Linked DNA regions of Lepisosteus oculatus. The protein of the gene in region 2 purifies or fractionates together with the protein of the main gene of each other region. This does not show direct contact. Links are inferred from orthologs where the notes say so. Each region holds a gene or a part of one and is shown on either strand. Other genes may lie near its edges.

Region 1 (7,580 bases), on a different chromosome or scaffold from region 2:
AAAGAAATGAAAATATAAAGCAATATGAATCCCCTTTTCCTTTATGTTTTAATTAACCGTAAATCTTGTCTGTGAATGAAAGTTTATTGTTCAGTTGTGTGTTATTAATCATCAGTCACTATAATTCAAAATATTAAACATTAACAGAACACAATGGACATTAGAAATGGTCATTGCTTTTGTTCTCCGGTTATTAAATTCTAAATTAAAATAAATAATTCAACAGGACTGTCAGAAGTGATGTGTGGTGCAGCGATGTTCGTCTGAATTCAGGTACCATGACAACCATCTTTACAGCCTTTTTCAACAGCACACTTTCCATTCGCTACGATTGCCAAAGCCAACGGCAGACGTCCAGAATCATCAATTAAAAGTCCATCTCCGCACAGGCAGATACATTTGCTAACACACATCACATATCCCAGCTCCTCTCTGCATCTTCGCACTTTCCTCCTTATCTCTGGCTTCTCCTTATCTTTACTCCTCCTCTTCTGTTCCAAAATGTTCTTTCCCACTGTGGCATCCTTTGGCCTTCCTTTATCTTCCCCAAAAAACTGGATGAACGTCTCCTTTTGTCCGACGGTGAGAGTGTTGTCAGCCAGTCCTGGTCCAGGAGGCTGGTGTGTGTGCTTTCAGGCATTTCTGCAAGTTCTTTACTCAAAGGGTATCTCATGTGTTAAAACTGACACAGATTTTTTTAAACGTGAAACAAAACTGCCAAGTTCTCGAGGCAAAATTCTGCACCCAGTAGAGTACTGTGCTCATAGTCACTCGTTTCATTTTTATTACATAAGAGTTCAAAATGCAATGAAATTACCTCACCCTGACAGTGGGGAGAGAAGTGTTTTCACTGTCTGTGCTCTGTGACAGACCAGTGAGCTCTGCTGCAGTTAGACTGCCTCACTGATTCAGCATTCTTTAGATCTCAGCCCATTCACTGACAAGTTGAATCCTAGAATGGACTAAGTGTCTCTGCAATGTTAATTTACGGCAGTTGTGCCTTTAAGTTATGGCTTCGGTTCAGTGTCAGCATGAAAAAAAACACAAAGGTGTTAATTAAAGATGAAACCTCAAACGGAATGGATTCAGAAGCGATGGTGTTTGTTCTCACTGCTGTACCTGCGCACAGATCCCAATAACAACACAAACCAAAGTCCATTACCGCTTCAGCGCTTCCTGGCTGAAGTAGAACAACTTGCTGCTTGTGTTTTTCCCTCTGTGAAGGAGGTAATAAGCATGGCGTCACTACAGCGTGAATGTTTCTAGCTCTAATTAGTACTATAATTGTCAAGGGCAATCCTGGGAATGTGGGGGGGGGTGTCTTGTACAGCAGACAGCAGTGTTTTCTACCTTCAGGGCAGGGTGCGGCCATATTGTGTAAGGTACAGTCTCTTGGTATTGCTGGAACAGAAATATCTGCGCACATCCATCATCGCTCCAGAAGTCTTTCGAAAATCCATCATCTTGTCAGCATCGCCTGTAGTAAGCGATCAACCATTTAATGTACAGCTTTGTGTTTATTAAATTTTGTTTGCCAGCAGGTTCACTGTGTCAAGCGCGCTTTAGTCATAATTCCTAAATTAGAAAGACGCATATTCCGTCTCTGTCAGCAAAGGATGCCGGTGGTCCAGGAGCCGTCATTTTATGTAATCTAACAGCCCCACCACCACCAACCCCAAATTTTTTTTGAAAAAAAGTGAAAATGGAAAGCAGTCTCATCAGGTAGCACAAAGCCGGCGGGCACCCAGATGGGCGAGAGTCCAGCGCCCCCCCGCCCATGACGTCACTCCGGACCGCGGCGCGAGAGCTGCCGCAGCGAGCGGACAGCCCGGACCCGCAACCGAGCAGGCCGGCCGGGCCGTGAGGCAACCCCGCAACACCGCTCTCGGCATACCGCCGCCTGGGGGTCCTTTCGAGCGAACACCTCCATCACTAGGCAATTCCTGCAAGCTGCGGGACCAATCGGACAGACATCCGCAACAAAGTGGACATTTCCGACACAGTGTTTTCTTTTCCGTGCTCCCGTTTGTGAATAGATGCAGCTCTCGGCGTTACAAGCAAACTTCACAGACCATTAATTATTCTCCCACATCCATTACCGCTGCGAACAGCGTCGATTCACACTTTAGACCCCCACGGACAAACTGTACTTCAATGTTTGACTAACCGTTTACCAAATCAACCAAGCACGTGTTTGAGCTTCCCCTTTATTGGAGAAAATAACAAAATAACGATAAAACCAATAACGTGCTCTTCACCGCAAACACCCAGGTAGAGACGCGTTACCAAACATCATTTTCATGCTGTGAAGATGATCAGCGGGAAGTATTTCATTGCCCTTTCTGCCCAAGAAACTGTCAAAAAGCAAAGGAGATTTAAATGCCCACAAAATCACATACCTAACTGATCAAACCGATGTGCGAAACAAATAACGGTGATTTTTTACGGATTACGCAAAATAAATAGGACCGCAAGCGTCCCGATTATCATTAAAGCAAGCGTGATCCTTGTTTCCAGCTATAACCCCGTTTATTAACAATGCCCTCAACCATCGTTCGGTAATTAACGTGAGAAACAGAGATAAAGGTCTTACCCCTATAACGACCGTGTCATCGTCCTTAAATTTGGGGATGTACTTGTCGCCCCTTACGATCTCGGCTGCATTTAACGGCCGGAATCGGCACATCACTTTGATGCTGCATTCGGCTGGGTCCGCCATCTCAGTCTACCCCAGCAAGAGCGCAATAATGCAAAGTTTCCTTCACAACCTCTTCAGCAAAAGCACGGACAGACTGCGCCGGGGAGGCCCAGGAGAGTCGCGTCAGCCTCAGAACACCATGGTCGTCTGCTGCAGATCAGCTGTTCCCCTTCATGCCCACCAGCCGCTCGGCTCTGCAATCTCCTTGCATTGAAAGGTGTGACAATGCATCTATACAGACATGTATTCCTGCGGACAGCACTCAAGTCCCTGCAGGCAGGCTGAAGCCGCGGGAGGCGGGGATGCAGTGTCCCCCTGTGTTGGAGAAGCCGGTGGCAGCTCAGAGCTCAGGAGTTCAGAAATCGCATCCTCCTTCGCGCTCCGTCACCCCGCAGCAACAGCACCGGGCACCTTCCCTCCTCTGGATCTGCCTCCTCCCCTGCTCCTCCTCACTCTCACTCTCACACACACACATACACACACCGGCTGGCGTGGCGTAGCCTTACATCATAAACTCCGTCGGTTCACCTAAGTATTCTGGGCAACGTAGTTCTTCTGCAGAATCCAGTGCGACCTTCCTTGAACTTGAACGTGAACTTTACTGCCGTGGGTAACCGGTTCTGGTACAATGGGATTCTTACGGAAAGTCTCGCCATTGTCAAAAAAACAAAAGGTGTAAAACACAAGGTGTCATCCGCCAATGTAATGACGCGGTTGCCGCTGTGTCCCGCTGTGCAGTCGTGAGCGGACAGGGCGTACTCGCCTGGACTCAGACGGCAGCCTTCTGAAGGAGCCGCCAGGTCCTCCACAGCGGCCCAGGTGTTAAGCTCAGTGGAAAATGAATGACAACAGTCTAAACGGATTCCTCCCGGAGTACAGGGGACATGTATCCGGAGAGTGAGAAAAGCAAAAGCTAAAAATACAGCATCTGAAAAGGTTCAGCAACTCAATTGTGAAAACAGAGGGATTAAAAAAAACAACAGGGTGCAAGTTAATGAAATTAGTATGCTACAGGATATTGTAAGCCAAGGATATCAGAAAGGCCAAGAGAGAAATTGAAAGGAATATTGTAATGGAGGCTAACATAGATGAGAATAAATTCTTCCAGTACTACAAAAGCAAAACAACCACATGAGGTCAAATCCATTAGGGACAAAACTGGTAAATGTCTAGACAAGGAGAGGGAAATGGCTGATGTACTGAACAAGTTTTTCACTCAGCTGCTCATTAGGGGCCTCTGGCAGTGGAGGGACAGAGTTCTGTATCAGCACAGAAGAGGCAGAAACCTTCTGGGAACTAGAAACACAAGAAACACATCATTTAACATGCGGAAACTGGCCTGTTCGCTTGATGTGGCTTTTATGTAATTAAGACAAATTCCATGATCTTTCTGGGATTTGGGGACCAAGCGGAGAGATTTACATTTTAAGGAAAGTAATGTCCAATTAATGAATTCTTGCTGCTGTGTGTTTTCTGAAGGTTTGAGGTCTACCTCACTGGCTGCAGAGGCCAAGTCGGGCTTGGCTGGATCAGGCCTGGGATGGCAGACCAGGGTGTTGGTGGACCAGCCAGTGGTTCTGAATTTCCAAACCAACGACACACGATCACAGCAGAGGGCACCACTCTGCTGTAGAAGCATCCGTGCGGTTCAGCTGAGGTCCTGGCTACTCGGTCTTTAAAAGACCCCTTCAGTTAGGAAGCATTTTGCTGCACAGAATGGCTGCCGCATGGTTCCCAAGGTGGGGAATGCAGTGGGGTCCTCCTGTATGTGGAGCTCTTAGGAATGTGCTCATATATTTTATATCGATTCAGAAAGTTATACAAATGAACAAAATTATTATTGCACTTCTACATACCAGTTGGTAAAGCAACAGTTTTTAAGGAGTTAAACAAGAAAAAAGCTCGCCACTCCACGTGAAGGGATCAATTTCCAGGAACCAGGCTGTTTCGCTGCCGGCGCGGTCTCAAACGCTAGCAGATACAGCTAGATTGTATCTTTCAGCAGGTTGCAGGACACGTCTCTGAAACAAGAGGCCTCTTTGGAAACAGCTGGAGGTTCTGAAGCAAATTGTATTGTAAAAAAAATGTGCAGCGTGGAGAACTGTGCATGTATGTCTCTCCGATTGCAGGTTTAGAAACATGCTCTGCCACACTGACACCCCCTTGCTGCTGAGCTTGAATGAACCAAACGTGATATGAAAAGCACGACTTGAATTTTACCTTAAGATAAAAAAAATGTACTTGCCGTTTAGAAATTATACTGTTCAAATCCAGATTTATTTCAGTACTAATCAGGAATGCTTAATGCTTCCTCATAGGAGTGCCACCTACTGGTTAAATTGCATGACAAGGTGCTCATTCGGAATTGAATACAGAAAATCATACCTCGGCTTCTCTGCTAGTGGAAACCATACCGTTTAATACCATGCAAAAAAAAAAGGTGATCTTAAAAATTGCCAAATAGCAAAACAAGCTGGTACTACGGTTAGGAACCGTCTCTCTTCTGAGGAACAACCACCAATGTACAGACAGCAGCCCCGTTGCAACTGCATTTTGAGAACTGCTGCTTTCACCCTGCACCGGGTTTTGACTGGAGTGCATGGAGAAAAGCTTAAAGAGCTTAGCAGTAGTTGAGCACCAGAGTAGACCCAGAATGAGAGAACGGGATTTAAAGCTATAGTGACAACAGTAGGTGGCAGCAAAGCCAGTAAGCCGTTGTAAACTGATGGCAGAACTGTCCATCGTTCTAACATGTGGAGTCTTTAGCTGTAAGCTTAACTCTGTGGTCCCAATTTCCCTGCTATATAATGGATACAACTGCCAAGTTCTATTATTTGTCATTTGATCTCGGGGAGATGCCACCTGCTCTTTCTTGACTTCTCCTAAGTGTACAAATACCCCCCCCCCCCCTTACAGAAATAAAAATCTGTAAGCGTAATGCCTTGACGTGCAGGATAACACAAACGGACACTTTTGGAAACTTTAATCTTCCTGAAACTGCACAAGAACGGCTATACGGGATAATAGGAGACCGCTGGTAATAACATAGCTGACTGGATTTATTTTCAGTAACATCGGTATGAAATTGGAACCAAGGTAATAAGCACTGTATCCTAGCAGCAATTCTCTCATCCCTATAATCCGAATTTTCACCCCTGAAACGAACAACAATCAAAAACACAGCTTCCCAGGACCAAAACTGATTTTCTTACCCCACCAACAGGCGCTCAAGGAAATGTTAGATGCGTTTCTTTAAAGAAACAAAAGAATCCAGGGCGAGTTATTCTTCGGTGAGGAATGAAGACATGGAATCGATTCTGATATGTATACTTTTTTTATTTCCCTGCATTTCGTAATATATCCAAGTACAAGTAACAGGGAAAATGTGTCTGAAGTAGTGCATAAACTAATAGTTGCCTAAACATTTCTATAAATCTTTTTACAGGAACTCACTACACCACTACACTACGTTAAGGGAGGCCTAGCGCTGATCATCAGACATGTTCTTCCTCACCTGTTACTTGCCTTGTCGCCACAGGAAAGAATACAAAAAATCTGAAAGGATGAGCAGTTGTGACAAGTACCCCCCTCCCCCCCAAGATTGGTTCGACAGGTTTCAGATAGTCTCCAAATACCCCACATACTAGTATTGCCCTTACCTGTGGAAGATTTATTGGCTTGACCTCGGCAAGTTTTAAAATGCAAATATATTAATGAGTTTGTTTTTATACATTTGCAAGAATGAGAATGTAGAATGCATAAATCTGTCATTAAAAATTTAAATAGGTCCTATGGATACAACAGCTTGTTTTTACACCAAAAACTGTGTTACTGTAACTTTTACAACATTCAAAAAAAGGACAAATAAAAATTTAAAATAAAAAATTAAAAAGCAATCCGTTCCCCATTGCCCCTTCAAAGTAATAGAAAATACCTGTCTTAATGAAAAATGTCACTAAACTTGTTACCAAAAGACCATCTATATTCAATTTGTGAAACCAAATGAATCAAGTGAAATACATTTTTTTAGAAAAAAAGTACAAGAACTTTATATGCTAACTATGCGAATCTCAATATTTTTGTAGACACAAAATCTGATTTGTACAAGATACAAAATGTAAACATTGCAAAATAAATAGTTAAAACAAGTGACATAGGATCCTTTCTCATGCTCATGATCCCAAAACAAACTGTTGCACATTTTTTCCTTTCCATTCAGTTGCATTTTCGAGTGCAAAAGCATGATGACAAATATCTAGAATTCAAGTAACAGAAATAACATACTAATGATACAAATATACTATTTTACAAGGTAGTGATCTTCCCAATTTTACAAAATGTACATTTATATATTGACAAATTAACTTAATATGTTGATATGCTGCTATTTCATATAGGTCCATGTAAAGCCCCCCTGCGAACTGTAGAGGGCGCACAGGTTTTGCATTCATTCTGGGAAATGTGTCAACTGCTGGACATGGGAGCACGGTCCGTGATGTGGGCTATGTGACCTCCATCGCCACTGTGGTCTCCGATATTCCATTCAAAGCAAGTCTTTCAGGCTCATGACTCTCCCTGAAACAGAAGGGAGAAAAAAACCTCAGACATCCAACATCCAACAAGTCGATACAATGACTTTACATTAACTGTTTCACGAAGAGGAATTTGGACTATTACATCTCCACTATCCGAGGCAAAATAAGTTCCTTACAAAGCAGTTACGGCCTTTGCCTTTCATAAACAGCATGATCTGTTTTTCTTTAATCCCCATCTCTGAACTGGCTTCATTACTCTGCTCTCCTCCCCACTGAGAGCTGGTGTGTGGGGAGCGGACTGGTGCACTTTGGCTGGGGGCTGCACACTGGTGGTGGTGGAGGGGAGC
Region 2 (7,686 bases):
GGTTGCACAGCAGCGAGGTCCAGTCCAGGGTTTGGCAGCTGCTCGAGTGCAGACTGGCGCTGATGGTCTCGCGTTTGCCGCCATGCGAAGTGCTCTCGCCTTCAGCTCTGCCTGCCCTCTCTCCCGCCGCAGGAGTCCCAGCATGCCCCACGGCGTGGACGCCATCGGCCTGCAGGTGGACTACTGGGTGGCGCTGGGCGGGGAGAGGAAGAAGGAGGGCGAGCGCCGCGACACGGGTTCGAAGAACACCCTGAAGAGCACCTTCCGCTCCGTGCAGGTCAGCCGGCTGCCGGGGGCCGCCGGCGAGGGCCCGCCCGGCCTCAACACCATGTCCATGACCGTGGTCACCAAGGAGAAGAACAAGAAGGGTGAGTGCACACTGCCCCCTGCTGGTGCGGCGCCGCCGTGGCGCTGGGAGGGTTCCAGCGGGAGGGCCTGCCTGCCTGTGTTCCAGTTCACCGGAGCCAGTTCTCTGTTTGTGTAGGTTTTCCCTTGGGATTGCCAAGCACGTACCACCCCTCACTGTTTTTTACCACGGTGTCCTGTGATTTTTACCGTGTTGCTCTGCTCTTTGACTGGGTTCTACTGCGCTGGACTGTGCTTTCACCCCGATCTCACTGGGCTCTACTGTGCTGTACTCTGCTTTTACCCTGATCTCATTGGGCTCTACTGCGCTGTACTGTGCTTTTACCCCGATCTCACTGGGCTCTACTGCGCTGTACTGTCCTTTTACCCTGATCTCACTGGGCTCTACTGCGCTGTACTGTCCTTTTACCCTGATCTCACTGGGCTTTACTGCACCGGACTGTGCTTTTACCCTGATCTCACTGGGCTCTACTGCGCTGGACTGTGCTTTTACCCTGATCTCACTGGGCTCTACTGCGCTGGACTGTGCTTTTACCCTGATCTCACTGGGCTCTACTGCGCTGGACTGAGCTTTCACCATGCTGCTCTCTCCTGTCTCCGCAGTGCCCACCATCTTCCTGGGGAAGAAGCCGAAGGAGAAGGAGGTGGACTCCAAGAGCCAGGTGATCGAGGGCATCAGCCGGCTCATCTGCTCCGCCAAGCAGCAGCAGACCATCCTGCGAGGTGAGGGCGCACGCACACAACCGCACACTGCTACACACACGCACACAACCGCACACTGCTACACACACGCACACACACAACCGCACACTGCTACACACACGCACACACACAACCGCACACTGCTACACACGCACACACACAACCGCACACTGCTACACACACACACAGGCGCACACTGCTGCACACTGCTACGCACAAACAACCGCACACTGCTACTCACACACAACCGCACACTGCTATACACAGGCACATGTAGACAGACACGGCTGCACTCAGACTGCAATGCACACACACGGACGCAGATTGGCATGCTTGGACACGGGCACACGCACATGTAGACAAACAAGGGCACTCTCGGACACGCATGGACACGCGCGGTTCACCCGCGCTCCCACAGAGGGCTGCTCGAGTCCCTGTGGTCCAGCAGGCTCCTGGAGGCAGGTGTCTAAACCCGCCAGTGGCTGACCGGCCGTCCCTGCTGTGCTCTCTCTGCAGTGTCCATCGACGGGGTGGAGTGGAACGACGTCAAGTTTTTCCAGCTGGCGGCCCAGTGGCCCACCCACGTCAAGTATTTCCCAGTCGGACTCTTCAGCTACAGCAAGCCAGCGTCCTAGGACCCGCCCCCCCCAAGCCCACCCCTCCTGCGCAGCCATTGGCCAGCTCCCGGAACAGGCCCTCTGCCACTCAGAGCTCCTGGAACCCTCCCTAGCCAATCAGAGCCGGGGGTGTGGGCTTCTCCTCCAATCGCGTCACTCGTAGACTTCTGCTCGGATTTTCGTTCTTCTTTCGCTATAGCAACGGCTGTGGAGCACATGTGGATTGGATCGATGACGTCGCTGTTCGCTCACGCCCGTCTCCAGGGCAACGCAGGGAGGTGCTGGAAGAGTGTACAGAGGAGGGATGGGGTTACAGATGGAGTACACACACACACACAAAAATGGACACTTGCTGACCATGTCCTGTACAGAAGTAACTTTGGGCAGATGTGCTTTTATGTGTGTCATGTTATGCACCAGTTTCCTTGCGGTGTGTTTTCATTAGAGCATTAAGCGTATAAAAACCAGGCCGTGTCCTCTTCCTGAGAGAGCGATTGTGTCCGTACAAGATGGGTGATTGGTCATTCCTGGCGCTGGTGGAGATCAGAATGGCTTTTGGGAAGATGGGGGATTCCAGAGGCAGGGAATTGCTCTTTAAGCCAGGGGTGACCAGTACTAGTCCTGGAAGGGGTGCTGTCTGCAGCGGGGGTGTCCGGTCCTGGGCCAGGAGGGGTCAGTGTGTCTGCAGCGGGTGTGTCCGGTCCTGGGCCAGGAGGGGTCAGTGTGGCTGGTGGTCTCGTTAAAAGCAGCAGCACCTGTTCGATGGGTCCAGTTCTGCCCATGAGGCGAAGACAGAGCTTGTTAAGAGCCGGGCAGCAGGGGGAGCCCCCAGAGATGCCCGCAAGCCCCTTGGGCACAGTAGGGGACCACTCTGGGCCTTGCCCAGGTGCGAGAGGCGTGCCGTGCGACGGGGCGCAGTTTCTGTCCTGGGGGCCCACACCGAACCTTGCTGACTCCAGCCTGGGGCCCCCCTGTTTCCCGGGATCCCCCGCTCGGCTCCTCTCCTCGCAGGACTGGACTCCGGTAGGGGGGTGTGGGGGAGTCGGGGCGAGCCAGGAGCGAGTCCAGTTCAGTTCGCCCAAAGGAAAGGAACTCCGGTCTTAAACCCTCCCCCCCCCCCCCCCCATCAGAGCGAGATGGACTAGACCTTCCCATCCGTGCTGAAGGGGAAATGGACTGTTCCATTCTTTTATTTCTGGTGGTGGGGGGAGAGTGTGGCCTCACTGCCTTCATGCCTCTAGGGCGCTCCTAGAAAACACAGCCATCAGCCTCTTGTTGTTTTTATACCAGATGTGCACTTTACTATTAAAACTCCTATTTGGACGTGGGTCTGGCCGTGTGGGTGTGGACAGAAGTCCTGTAGCGTCAGTAGTAGTAGATTATATGATCACAATCCCAACCCCCCACCTCGTGTCCCAGACTCGTCCTCGTTCCTGCTGGATGGGTTTGCCCCGTTGGAACCCGTCTCCCTGGGAAAAGAGCCGGCCAAGTGAGCCCAGCCCGGTTCTGGAGGGGAGGGGGGCTCGGAGGGGTGTCCCTGGAGCAGAGGAAGGGGGGGCTGGGACGAGCGGGGCTCCGGACTCACCCATGCGTCTCCCATTGGTGTTTTAGTGGGATTTCCCCCACAGTCAGGTGTCGTGATTTGCTCTCCTCTCCCAGCGGCCTGTGCCCAGTGGTTGATTTTGTTCTAAAGACGTCGCAGGCGTCTCCCTGGACGAGCACCAGTGTGTTTGGGCCTTTTGTGGTTGTGTTTTGAACTGCGAGTTGCGGTGTTTGTTCCCCCCGGGGCAGGGCAGGCTCCGGCTCCGGCTCCGGTGAGCTCCGGGCCGGGAGTTCCAGGCGGCCAGCCGCTCTGCGTGCCGCTGGGCAGGCTGATTAATCGAGCGCAGCACTGCGGCGGGCTGGCCGGGCTGCCTTCTGCCCCCGCGGCCCAGCGTCTCTCGAACCCGCCGCGCGCCGCGCAGCCCTGGCAACAAGCCCTGCAGCTGCTGCTGCTCCGCGCGGGCGTGCCTCCCGTCGCCCCAGACGGCCGAGGACAACAGTCTGTTGGACTGGGGTCGGCGCTATGCCGGTTTCTGTTGCCATGAAAGACCCTCCCCTCCCCCTGCAGGGGGCGCTGGAAGCCACAGCCTGGTTCAGGCTGACCAGCAGCAGCAGCAGTGGCCAGCCGCCTGTGGGGCTGGGCCGATCTGGCACCGCGGGGCAGCGTGGCCGGGGTTCGAGACCGCTGGACCGTCAGCAGCGAAAGTCCGGCTCGGACCGGCGCCGCCTGCCTGCGGGGGGGTCCAGAGAAGCGAGGGGGGGTGCTGCGTTCTCCATTTCCAGCTTTTCCGTCCCCTGTCCGCTGGAGCCAGAGAGCCAGAGGGACGGAGCCGCAGGGCTGTCGATTCGGTGTGTCATTAAAAATCATCAGAATCAAAACGTTGGATTTTTAACCCGTCTCTTGTCACGACGCTGCGTCACGGACACCGCGGCACGCGGACGTGTAGCCCGCCGCCCAGCGCCCAGCACGCACGCTCACGCGGAGCTGCGTCCCGGGTCAGAGCACGGGCCTGACACCGCGCCGGGGCCCCGGGTTCAGCCGTCTGTGTGGAGTCTGCATGTTCTCCAGCGGTTTGTCCATCCACAGACACGCTGGTGGGGACACAGGGCCTGGTGTGTGTGTGTCCTGTGACCCGGGTGTGCCCTGCCTTGTGCCCTTGGGGTGCTGGGATAGAGGAGGAGGAGGGAGAGAGAGGAGAGGGGAGGAGGGAGAGAGAGGAGAGAGGAGGAGGAGGGAGAGAGAGGATTGAGGAGGAGGAATGAGAGAGAGGTGGAGGAGGGAGAGAGAGGATTGAGGAGGAGGAATGAGAGAGAGGAATGAGAGAGAGGAGGAGGAGGGAGAGAGGGGATTGAGGAGGAGGAATGAGAGAAAGGAGGAGGAGGGAGAGAGGGGAGCGGCCCCGGCTGGCGGCAGTGTTTTGGGCGGTGACGTCAGCGCGCCTGCGCCAGGGCTTCTGGGAAGCCAATATAGGCACAACAGCCATTTTCGGCTCGCGAGCGGCTGTCAGTGCGGAGAGCGAGCCAGTCGCGCGCAGCGGAGCAGTCGGGATGCCGGTTCCTCGCGACAGCTTGGTCGTGTGAAAAGAAGAAACAACAACAACAACAACAACAGCGGCGACCACGCACGGACACGGACACGGGCGTCTTTCTTTTCCCAAGAAAAGACCCTGACGTGCACACGAGTGGCGGGGGGACACGGCTCCGATAACCTTTCTCCCGACCCCCCCTCTCCCTCCTCCTCCTCCTCCCCACGCTGCGTGGATCCGTCCCGTTAGGAATGAGCCCGCCGTGCCGGATGCGGCAGTAGAACGAGCGAGAGCGCAGAGGTGCGGACACGCAGGGCAGAGACCCGGCGCGGGGGGCATATCTCGGACTGGGGGGCTTCCTCGCGTGCGTGCCTGTGGGGGACGGAGCGGGGGGGGGCGGCGCTGCTTGGACAGCCGACCCGGACAGGACCGGCGGGGCCGAACCTCGGAGACTGGACCTGCACCGCCAGCCCGCTTTCCGGGCCCCTCGGATGCGGCAGGTGTCGGGGGACCGAGCCGGCGAGCTGAGCTGAGCTGAACCGAGCCGAGCCGAGCCTTCAGGGGACGGGACGACACCGGCGCCTCAGGGGGCGAGAATCAGGTGAGTCATTGACCCGTGAGCCGCTCTTCCTCTCCCCGCACCCCCTCCTCCTCCTCCTCTCGCCCTCTCCACGGCTGTCCCCCCCCCCGAGGGGCCGAGGGCCCGGGTTCAGCGCGCTCCACCGCTTCATTCAGACACGGGACTGGGGAGGGGGGGTTCGGCTCTAGTGACCCGTTTCCAGACCCGATTCCCTGACCAGGCTGGACCCGGGTGGACCCGGGTTCTGGTGCTGACGGTGTCCCGCGTCACGTCACTCAGTGTCCTCTGTCCGGGCCAGTACCGGGGGGGTGGGATCGCGAGCTGTGAGACGTGTGAGGGGTTCTGGTTCTGGTTTGTTTTACTTTGCACATCCGCGAGTGGGACGTAAAGAGCGGATTAGAGCGAGCCTGTGTTGAGTTAATGGTCCCGGTCCGGCCCGGTTCGGCTCGGCGCTCCGGAGGTCTGGTGGGGGGTGGGGGGCGCGAGTCAGCTGGACCATGCCCATCCACGTCTGCACGTGCTGGCGTGTTTTGGGCACGCAGGGCGGCGGGTCGGGCACCCCTCGGTGACGGATGCGCGCGGCTGTGTGTGTTCCGAGCGGCGGCTCCGCCTGCGGGTCTCATGAAGTCCCGCGGCCCGGCGGCCCGGCTGTCCGGCTGTCCGGCGGCGGCCCGGCGCTCCCGTGACGCGGCGCTGTCCCCCGCGCCGGTTGGCGCATTGCGGTACCTCCGGCGCCGCGTGTGCGTGCTGGCGGCGGCGGGGGGGGGGCAGGCCCGGCAGGTGCGTCTGGTTGGCAAGTCGCTGGGAGTGTTAGACGAGCCCCCCCGCTTGGGCCTGTCCGCTCGCTAGCTCGTGTCCCCTTCTTGGTGGTGGTGGTGGTGGTGGGGGGCGTTGTGCTGGTTTTGGCAGCGCGGCTGGCTCCAGACCCCTGCCACTCTTTGTGTAGATGAGTGTTGTTCAGGGGTCGCTTTCCTGGACCCTCCACTCAGAGCTCTGTACAGGTTATGGGGATCCCCTCCACCCCCACCAGTGTGTACCCCCACCTGGATGATGCTCCAGTCCCCTCCCCACACCCCAGCTGTCAGTGTGTGATGGAGCCAGTTCAGAGAGGGGGGTTATTAGGAGGCCATGAGGGGTAAAGGCCAGGGGGGAATATGGCCAGGACACTGGGGTGACACCCCAACTCTTTTTGAGAAAGACCCTGGGGTTTTTAATGACCGCAGAGAGTCAGGACCTCAGTTTTACAGTATCGTGTCCCTGTCACTATAGTAGGGCATTAGGACTCGCACAGACTGCGGTTTGCGTCCCCACAGTGCAGTGCTGCAGTGCTGTATGACAGTACAGTGCAGCAGTGTTGGATGACAGTGCAGTGCTGTATGACCGTGCAGTGCTGCAGTGCAGCAGTGCTGTATGACAGTACAGTGCAGCAGTGTTGGATGACAGTGCAGTGCTGTATGACCGTGCAGTGCTGCAGTGCAGCAGTGCTGTATGACAGTGCAGTGCAGCAGTGTTGGATGACAGTGCAGTGCTGTATGACAGTGCAGTGCTGCAGTGTAGCAGTGCTGTATGACAGTGCAGTGCAGCAGTGCTGTATGACAGTGCAGTGCAGCAGTGTTGGATGACGGTGCTGCAGTGCTGTATGACAGTGCAGTGCTGTATGACCGTGCAGTGCTGCAGTGCAGCAGTGCTGTATGACAGTGCAGTGCAGCAGTGCTGTATGACAGTGCAGTGCAGCAGTGCTGTATGACAGTGCAGTGCTGTATGACCGTGCAGTGCAGCAGTGTTGTATGATGGTGCAGTGCTGAAGTGCTGCAGTGTTGTATGACAGTGCAGAAGTACAGCAGTGCTGTATGACAGTGCAGTGCTACAGTGTAACAGTGTTGTATGACGGTGCTGCAGTGTTGGATGACGGTACTGCCCCCTCTGCCCCAGGGCTCGGCGGCCTGTGTCGTGAGGGATGTCCGCCATGGTGCTGCCCCGGGACGAGCCTCTGGAGCGCCTCTCGCAGGACGAGATCGTGCTGAGCACCAAGGCGGTGATGCAGGGGCTGGAGACGCTGCGCAGCGAGCACGCCGCCCTGCTGGCCGCGCTGCTGGACGGGGTGGCGCTGCCGGACGGCTCCCAGCTCCCCGCGGCGCAGGAGAAGTCGGGGCTGCTGCGCAAGAGCCTGGACGCCATCGAGCTGGGGCTGGGGGAGGCGCAGGTACGGGGAGCGGGGGGAGGGGTCCCTCTGGGTGCGTGATGGGGTCGGGGGTCTCTGAGGTCAGTATCGGGGTAGCAGGACGGGGTCGGGGGTCTCTGAGGTCAGTATCGGGGTACCAGGAAGGGGTCAGAGGTCTCTGAGGTCAGTATC

Evidence for each region.
Region 1: the proteins of kinesin light chain 2 (region 2) and kif5c purify together in Homo sapiens (affinity purification with western blotting; 3 studies listed by BioGRID and IntAct, with this or other methods). This does not show direct contact. The link is inferred for Lepisosteus oculatus from reciprocal best matches to the Homo sapiens genes KLC2 and KIF5C.

What each region holds. Positions count from the first base shown.
Region 1 is NC_090707.1:2,880,366-2,887,945, reverse strand, and holds the start of kif5c (kinesin heavy chain), read right to left. Parts: upstream 3,157-7,580; 5' UTR 2,720-3,156; coding exon 2,594-2,719; intron 1-2,593. Other genes in the region: epc2 (enhancer of polycomb homolog 2), read right to left, coding at 7,201-7,269. UniProt on the Homo sapiens protein: Microtubule-associated force-producing protein that may play a role in organelle transport. Has ATPase activity. Involved in synaptic transmission. Mediates dendritic trafficking of mRNAs.
Region 2 is NC_090713.1:22,597,249-22,604,934, forward strand, and holds the start of kinesin light chain 2, read left to right. Parts: upstream 1-4,627; 5' UTR 4,628-5,354; intron 5,355-7,265; 5' UTR 7,266-7,290; coding exon 7,291-7,536; intron 7,537-7,686. Other genes in the region: phosphofurin acidic cluster sorting protein 1, read left to right, coding at 133-368, 970-1,089, 1,585-1,703. UniProt on the Homo sapiens protein: Kinesin is a microtubule-associated force-producing protein that plays a role in organelle transport. The light chain functions in coupling of cargo to the heavy chain or in the modulation of its ATPase activity.